2 linked regions of the Nothobranchius furzeri genome follow. The protein of the gene in region 1 interacts with the protein of each later gene in a pairwise test. Links are inferred from orthologs where the notes say so. Each region holds a gene or a part of one and is shown in the gene's direction. Other genes may lie near its edges.

Region 1 (4,563 bases):
GCAGGCTGCCACAGGAATGCAGAAATGGAATCCATTCTTTGCACAACTTCCAAAATATGTAAGACATAAGACATCCAGGTAAGTTTGAGTCCTCCACCTCTGATTATTCAGAGGAGCCAAATGAGGCTTTTATTCTGCCTTGCTGTACTCACTCACTCTCATGCTGCTAAGGTCCCATACCATCAGATTGCTACACCTGCCGGCTCTTCCCACTGAACATCATCCTCACTGCCATCCAATACATCTATGCATGCAATGTTTGATGCCTCTGCTGAATTGACCACCGTCATCTTAAAATTAGCATCATATCTCTGCCTTGGTAGCTTGTTCACTTGCCCCACTTTCAATCCACTCTGCTGCAGACCTCCCGTCTCCATTTTCTTCTCCGGTTGAGAACATACAGCCTGGCGCCCTCTGCTGTTTTGGTCGTGTAACGACCCCAGATAAATATCGGCATGTGTGAAAGCTTAGACCCCGATTATAAGACGACCCCACATTTAAAATTATTTTCAATGAAAAAACCTCGTCCTATATTCAGGTCAATGCGGTTCTTTAAGACATATTATTGACCAAAATGATTTTTTATTGATGTATAAATTGCATCATATATTTATTTATTCTTAATGAAGCCAACTGAGCGGGGCTAATGCTGTTTAATTGTAAATTATGATGTGCACATTAATGTAGTCTTGGGCGGAAGGGGCTGGAGCCTCCATTTTCCTAGTTACAATCTATTCAAACATCAGGACAGGATTGCGCTTTTATACACTGATGTCCATTGACAATCGAATATGTGTGGGTGCATGGTTTATTTGTACCTTATAATTAACCAGATTCTGAGAAATAGATTACCATGGCAACGCATGTATCCAAGGATCACCACAAACAAGTCTCTTGGAAATAATGTAGAAAGTCTAATTCTGAGCCGATAACCTACTGCTGTTTTTGGGTTTTCTGAGCTCTCTACACTTAAAACTACCAACATAACTGACATTTTTTACCATGGCAACAGAAGGAACTAAGGATCACTCTAATCAAGTCTCACTGGAGTGAATATAAAAAGCCGAATATTGAGCCAATAACAGACTGCTGTATCTGATCTTTCTGACCTATCTCTACTTAACTTACATTTTATTGATCGTCAGAAGGCGGGAAAGTGCCTCACCCCCTCCCAGCTCTCTGATTGGCTCATCACCACCTGTGTGTGAATGAATGGGTAAATGATACACTGTAATGTAGAGTGCTTTGGAGTCCTCTGACTCAGAAAGGCGCTATACAAATGCGGGTCATTTATCATTTATTTCTGGAAACCCAAGTTTCCTTTATTATTTGTTGTTTTTAGTGTTTTAAGTTTACAATAATAGCCTTTGTGTGCTTATCTGTAATCATATTATTTTTCTGCTTCCTTTTCTCCATGTGTATGTGCTGCTGAAACGAGTAAACGCCACCACTGCAGGATTAATAAAGTATATTATATTTATTCCTGTGTCTGTTTTAAAAGGGCTTGGCATTCTAGGGGTTAAACTAAATGGTGAAGCTCGGGAGAATGACAGCAGATGCGCTTGATGGCTGCCAACACTCGTGTTTAATGGAGCTGGAGGACAATTGGAAAAAAGGAAACCTAAATGAGACACTTCCCCGCACATCCAGTAGGTGGCGGTAAGCTCCGCTGCAGCTGTAGAAGAAGTTCCGGTTCCGGAAGCAGCTGGAATGGACTTTAATGGTTAATAACGTAAATAATTTACAGGAGTGAGCGGCGACAGAACAATCTTTCAGACGTTTGCTGCAAGGTCTCACGCAGCTTTAGCGCTTCTGTCGTGGATTCGCGGCGCTGTTAGCTTCTTGCCAACAGCCGGAGAAGACAGCCGGACGTGAGTTTGTCCACCGCTGAAAAACAGAAAGCATTAAATTATTTAGAATCCTGTAAAAATGTGTTTCTGTAGTAGGTCTGAACGCGCAATGGACCGGAACCACTAGCACGGTGACGGTTCGGAAGGGGTACTGTCTAGATGTCCATGCCCGTGGTGCCGCTGCAGGTGGGAGAGAACCCAGGAGAGTTCACCTGTGAGTGTCGCCGGAAGTGTGCAGTCACACATTAAAACACTCCCGTGATCATAAGCACCGGTTCTACAGAAGAGCGCTTTATTCCACCTTTACTCGTGCTAGCAAACATAACGGACATGATAATTTATATAAATGTTACAGAACAGCAGCACTTTGTGTTGACCTGTTGTGAATAAAGGTGAGTTTGAGTTCAGAGTGGTTTGGATTTTAGGACCCGGTTCTGTAGCAGCAGCCATGGCGGAGGCTGGAGCCCATCTCACCTCGGCCGCTGTCGGTGAGCAGCCCTCCATTTTTGAAGTTCTGGCCCAGGAGTCACTGATGGAGGCAGTGAAACCAGCGCTGAGGCATGCCGTCAGGGTAGGTGTGCTGCACTCAGCTCTGCTGCACAAGCACAAATGTTTTCTGAACATCATAGAGGTCTGTGGCCCTGCAGGTTCTGGCTGAATCCAACCCGTCTCACTTTGGCTTCCTGTGGAGAAGCTTTGATGAACTGTACCTGCTGCTGGACCTGATCCTCCAGAACCACTTCCTGCGTCACTGCAGCGCCTCCTTTTCGGAGAACTTCTATGGTCTGAAGAGGGTTTCAGGCCAGCAGGCACCTCCAGCTCACCTAGGTCTGCTCAGGAGGTCCCGCTGGCTTTCTCTTCTTCTTCTGTGCCTGGCTCCGTACCTACGGGCCAAGCTGGAGGTGAGGCTGGCACGGCAGAGGGATGAGGAGGACTTCTCCATCAGGTTGGCTCAGACCCGGAAAGAGCGGCTGTATCGAGCAGCAGTGGCAGCTTACCCATATGTCAGCTCAGCCTGGCAGGCCTGGATCTTCTGCCAGCAGCTGCTGTTTGTGTTTGGGGTCACCAGGACTCACAGCCCCCTGATGTGGTTTGCCAACGTCCGGCTGGCTCGCCTCAGTGCTCAGGATATTCGAGTCATGGAGCAGAAAATGAGCAGCATCGGCCCCACAGCAGATAAGAGGTACTTTACTCTTGATTATGACTTCGCACCGTAAACATTCCAATACAGTTAAGTTCATTAAAGAGAAAGTCACACCAAAATCTGGTTTTTTGCTGATAACTTGTATAAATAAGTGTATTGTAGTGTTGTAGACATGTCTAGTTGTTATTTTTGGTGCATTTTCTTTAAAAACTTAAAATTCAGCCTAAAACCTTAAGTCCAGCGCCCTCTTCAGCTCTAAATTATTCTACACTAATTGACAACAGCAGTTTGAACTCCGTCTGACCAATGGGTGAAAGGTCCCATGTAAATGATAAATTAATGATAAATGACCCGCACTTGTAAAGCGCCTCTCAGAGGAAGGACTCCAAAGTGATTTACACTACAGTGTATCATTTACTCATTCACACACACATTCACACACTGATGGTGATGAGCTACGATGTAGCCACAGCAGCCTTGAGGCGAGGCTGAGCCTGTCACATCTCTGTGGCTGTAGGTTATAAAAGCATCGCGGTCTCAGCCACATGTGTGTGTGTGTGTGTGTGTGTATGTGGCATTATGTTATGTTATACCCAAAGTACCTACAATCATCAATCGAACATCAAAGGTTCATTAACTCATTCACTGCCATTGACGACTAAAGTCGTCATTTGCATTTTTTTACTGTTTGAGCATCGCAACGAGCCCCCGCGCTCAGAGAACAAACATCTCAGCCCTGAAGCCGATCTTCATCCGCATACGTCACAGATCACATGCTCAGGAAGCATCACATCCATGTGTTAGGAGATCGTTTTGGGCCGTTTCTGTAAAAAAAGTGAGGCGCGAACCGGAAAAGCGTCTGCCGATCACAATTCAACAACGGATTATGAAAGAACGGATAACGCTCGAAACACGCGGCTTCTTCCTGATGTAAGAGGTGAGTCTCCTCTTTGTTTTGGTTGTTTTGGCGTCGACATCATGCTAGCGCGCAACGTTCTGTGACTCTTAAAAAAACAGTAAAAACGGTGAGAAACGCTGGCAGCGAAGGCCGTTAGTGATCAGGAAACAGCTGGCAGTGAATGGGTTAATATTGATAAACCATACTTTAATGGAATATTACATTGTATTGAATACCTTTATATTCTATAGATAAGTTATTAAAAGTAACCACTTACAAACCTTACATGAGCACCACGTGTTCATCATGTAGAAATGTTTGTGTGGAAGAGCAACAGCTACAATGTGTACTACTATGTTGTAATGTGTGTGTTTTTGAGGCCTTGTGTGTGATGTCTGTAGGCCAAGTCTGGTTTTTCACCAAGAGTGAAAGGTTTTGAGTGTAGAGCTTCATTTTGACCTGAAAATGTGATGTTTGGGAAGTTGGGTGAGATGTTATGGATGTGTGTTTACTGTTTGGAGAATGTGAGGAATCGAGAAAAACTGTAAACCCGACCGCTTCCTAAACTCCAGCGTGGAGACCAGAAAGTGGATCAGAACCAACCGGAGGAGCCTTCTTGATCAGGGCAACACTGTACTGACTGATGGGTCAATGTTCGTGTGTGTTTGCAG
Region 2 (4,341 bases), on another chromosome or scaffold:
CCATTCTAGGTTTAATAGATCTAGTTTACATTCATGATGACTCTGAGGGTGAATTTTACTGTAACTCTTCTGTTTGAGTGGAATTTAACGCTTAACATTTCTGAATAATTAATGAGCACCAGAGCCACGTGACTTCAGAGCTAGCTCCGAGGAAAGGCCTCAGCCTCTAAAGGTTGGTTTATGCTTGACGCGTCCGCAAGGTCTGCACGGCTCCGCGTGGAAAAGTTGCATCATTTTGCGTCATTTTAACAACCACGCCCCTCCACCGCGCCTCCGCACGGCCCAGAATTTCCGCGACGCGCACCTCGGAAAATTTCTAACCACGCGGACGGTCGGACGCGGAAAAACATGGCGGACCGGCAAGAACTAGTATGGCAGAGGTTGGTAAATACAGACATTTGTATGATTCAGCTCTCAGAGATCACCGTGATCAACATGTTGTTAATAATTCTTGGAGAGAAATAGCTCGCACTGTCGGAAAAGACGAGAACGCTGTTAAAAATGCTGAAATGCCATGTTGTAACCAGTAATTTTTACTTCTACTATGGTGTAGTGTTGGATGCATGCCGTAGAGCTCCATGCTGCCCCCTACAGTTTGGGAGAATATTGGCTCACCGCAGAGACGAGTCGCACGAACCATAAACGCTGCGAGTTGTGAAGCGCGTTCCATCCGCGAGCCGCATCACCAAGCGGAAAGTGAATGCGTCAAGCATAAACCAAGCTTAATAGATGTCCAGCCATTTCGACTCTCTGAACTTTAGTTGTGTGTGTGTGTGTGTGTGTGTGTGTGTGTGTGTGTGTGTGTGTGTGTGTGTGTTGATCATGGGATTAGTTGGACAAACAGGTCAAGCTGTGGTTACTGACGGCACCAACAGACCATCCAAGCAGATTCTGCTCCTTTTTTATCAGCAAGTAAAATTATATTTATGTACTTTATTTAGTTGGTTGAATGGGGGAAATGCTGTCATTTAACTGCTTGGTCAAACATGTTAGTGGGGCTATGTCCATATTTTTATATGTCGATGTGAAAAACACACAATATGGCAAAGGAAGTTCATATACATATGTGTATGAATAAAAATACATTAAAATTATGTTGCAGGCTTGTTTCTTCAAGCCACGGATGGTATATCAAAACATAATCATAGTAATGATGCACCTGTATGAAATGTTTGGGGCTGATACCGATATCAGATATTAATACCACTGTTATGGCCGATAACCGATATATTGTGCATCCCTAAATCATAATAAATTATTACTCATCATTATGTTGCTGCAGCTGTAATAAAATAAATGAATATTGATCTATTATTATTATTATTATACTGACACGTCAATGATTAGTACATAGAAACTCCTGCTACACACTTTGTCCAGCAGGAGGCGCTGGTCCATCTTTAGGTTTTTCAAACCACTAAAGTAAAAACACAGACGAAGTCAAAGAAACCGGAACCGAAATAGTTACTGTTGTTTTTGTTTCTCTGTTGGATTTTGACTCGTTTCTTCTGTTTTTGTTTTGCTTTTTGAGTCTGAAAATGTAAACCGGTTGGTTCTGGAACGAACCGGAAGCCCATCCCGGTGTGAACCCACCGGCTGCAGGTGGAGGTGAACGGATCGGAACCGCTGAGCATCATCCCGTCTGCGGATTGAGGTTCGGTTGGTCACAATGCCTCTCAGTCCGGCTAACCAGGCCCAGCTGATCCGGTCCAGTCAGAAGGATGAATATTACCGAACCGTGCTGAGGAACAAGTCCAACGAAGCGTTTCAGACTCTCGCAGGTTCGTGTGGCCGGTTAGCTTGTGCTGATGCTAAAGTTCCGTAAACTGGATGGTTGGGTCGGTTTTCAGAGTTTTTACTTCAAAAACAGCTGAAGTTTCTTCAACCTCGTTCCCGGAAACCAACAAAAACAGTTTTATTCAGTCTGAAGCCTGAATTTGTGTTTATAAAGGACAAAAACTCAGCTTCGTGCAGTTCGAACTCAGCCGTTCCTGTCGGAGCAGATAAGGTCCGAATGATCTGGAATCAAGATTCGGTTCAAATATAAAGTCAGTTTTGTTCTTTTTAAGATTAAAAAATGATGAAACACTTTAGATCCGTCCATCACCAACAAAACCAGAGGCTGGTGTCGACCCGCTCCAGAGGACTCCGTCTGGGATGGACCAGAACCAAACTGGATCAGATGGATCTGCATTCCAGATCCATTCCAGGAGGTGTCGTTTTCCTTGGACCAAAGTGGAGAGGATGATCCAGATGGTGTTGGCGCCAAGTCCAAAAGTAGATCCTGAGATGGTTCGGACTTGGTCCATGTTCTGTGGTGGCAGGATTATCTAGTCAGAGAGAGAAAAGGGTTCTGGTTCCGGACGGGCCTGCCTGCTGATGTCCTGACCCATCTCCAATAAAGAAAATTAGGTAAAACCCAAACTGAAGAGGATGACCCGGTTCTGTTTTGTCTGCAGAGAGAATGGGACAAACGACAAAGCCTCATCACACCCGGACCAGAACCGGTTCTGTAGCCGCTGGAAGCCCAGAACCAGGCGGATGTTAAACGTTTTTGTTTCCTTCGTTTTTAAAGATTTGTTCATCATTCAGGAGTTCTTCTAGCACGACCTGTGATCAGTAAAAACGCTCATTGGGTCAGGTTGTTAGTAACAGACGAGGTGTCTTTTCAGAATAAAAGCCTGTAACTGTTGCTTTTACCTTCAGGATCTAAGCGATGGCTGGACTGGAGGAGGGAGCTGGAGCTGCTATCTGACATCGTTTACTTTGGTCTAACAACCCTCTCAGGTGGTTTGCTGACATCCAGAACTTGACCTTGATCCAAAGAATCAAACTTCTTCATGTGAGCATCTCCATTGTCTGCAGGTTATCAGACTCTGGGTGAGGAGTACGTTCACATCATCCAGGTGGAGCCGACCAGACGCCGGATCCCGTCCCGGACCAGACGAGGTCTCTTCGTCCTCCTCCACACCTTCCTCCCCTACCTCCTCGACAAAGTCCTGGTGTGCCTGGAGAATGAGCTGGGAGGCGAGCAGGAGCACCGCAGGGCCATCGGCCGGCATCATGCGGCATCCGGGGGGTGGAGCCTGGAGGGGTGGCTCAGGAGGGGGGTGCAGAAGGCGGTGGGCATGCTGACTGAGCCTCAGAAGAGGGCGTGGCAGCCGGCGGTGTTTGTGATCCAGCAGAGCGTGGGCCTGCTGCACCGCCTCCATGTAGCGCTCTTCTACATCAGCAGCTCGTTTTATCAGCTGTCAAAGCGGGCGGCCGGGATCCGATATGTGAGTCAAGGGCAGGAAGTTCCCCACCAAAATAAAACTCAGGAAAAAGATTTTTTTTATTGATTCTTTCTGATTATACTCAAGTCACTGAGTTTTCATGCAGGCTGAACATGGAAATAGTCTCCTACACCTATCTCCTGCATTAGCTATCAGGAAGTAAGACTCCAAATTTACTTATTGTAAGTTAGAAGGACCCTCTCGAAAAGGAGACGGTTCATCTAATGTGGTTTTATCCTAAAACACAAGTCAGTAATAAATCCTGCCGTCTGAAGCTCAACTCAGATGTGGCTCACTTCTAGTTCCTGAAACAGGCGCCAGAGCTTTGTTTCTAGCTCCTGCTGTAGACCAGTGCAGGTGTATGATAGATACAAGTAAAGTTGGTCTTTAATGTCAAATCCTAATTTAAGTTTATTTTATGAATTAATACAAAATAAGATGTTTTCATTCTATAACGTTAGATTTGTGTGTGTGTGTGTGTGTGTGTGTGTGTGTGTGTGTGTGTGTGTGTGTGTGTGTGTGTGTGTGTGTGTGTGTGTAGCTGCGTGTGATGGGGCCGGGTGGCACAGACGCCTCCATCCGGAGCAGCTACAGACTGCTGGGTACCGTCTCCCTCCTCCAGCTGCTCGTCTCCGTCTGCCTGCAGCTCCAGAACTTCAGGCGGAGGCAGAGAGCTCGACAGGAGTGGAAGCTCCACAGGAAGCTCAGGTACAGAACCGAACCCGGACCTTCTCTGATTACAGCGCAGAGCTCGATGTTCTGATGTGAAAGTGCTGATTTGTGTTTTCAGCCCTCAGCGCACACCGAGCTCCAACCCACGAGCTGCTCGCTGCATCTTGTGCCTGGAGGCGAGGAGGAACTCTACCTCCACCCCCTGTGGACATCTCTTCTGCTGGGAATGCATCACAGAGTGGTGCAACACCAAGGTCCGGCTTCCATCTGCAGGTTTTCACTCTCAGATCTGATCAGAAGCTTCTGCAGCTACTGTCAGATTCTTCTCACACCTGACTGATTTCAGAAGAATTCTAGAAGTTTCTCCTCCCTAGATAGAAACCAGGACCCTCCT

What was found.
Region 2: the proteins of pex12 (region 1) and pex10 interact in a two-hybrid assay, tested with the Homo sapiens proteins (4 studies listed by BioGRID, with this or other methods). The link is inferred for Nothobranchius furzeri from reciprocal best matches to the Homo sapiens genes PEX12 and PEX10.

The regions. Positions count from the first base shown.
Region 1 is NC_091758.1:14,500,583-14,505,145, reverse strand, and holds the start of pex12 (peroxisome assembly protein 12), read left to right. Parts: upstream 1-1,700; 5' UTR 1,701-1,871; intron 1,872-1,943; exon of another isoform or gene 1,944-1,946; 5' UTR 1,947-2,064; intron 2,065-2,275; 5' UTR 2,276-2,298; coding exon 2,299-2,421; intron 2,422-2,497; coding exon 2,498-3,033; intron 3,034-4,563. UniProt on the Homo sapiens protein: Component of a retrotranslocation channel required for peroxisome organization by mediating export of the PEX5 receptor from peroxisomes to the cytosol, thereby promoting PEX5 recycling.
Region 2 is NC_091755.1:45,336,558-45,340,898, forward strand, and holds the start of pex10 (peroxisome biogenesis factor 10), read left to right. Parts: upstream 1-1,428; 5' UTR 1,429-1,669; coding exon 1,670-1,781; intron 1,782-2,706; coding exon 2,707-2,787; intron 2,788-2,865; coding exon 2,866-3,278; intron 3,279-3,816; coding exon 3,817-3,983; intron 3,984-4,065; coding exon 4,066-4,201; intron 4,202-4,341.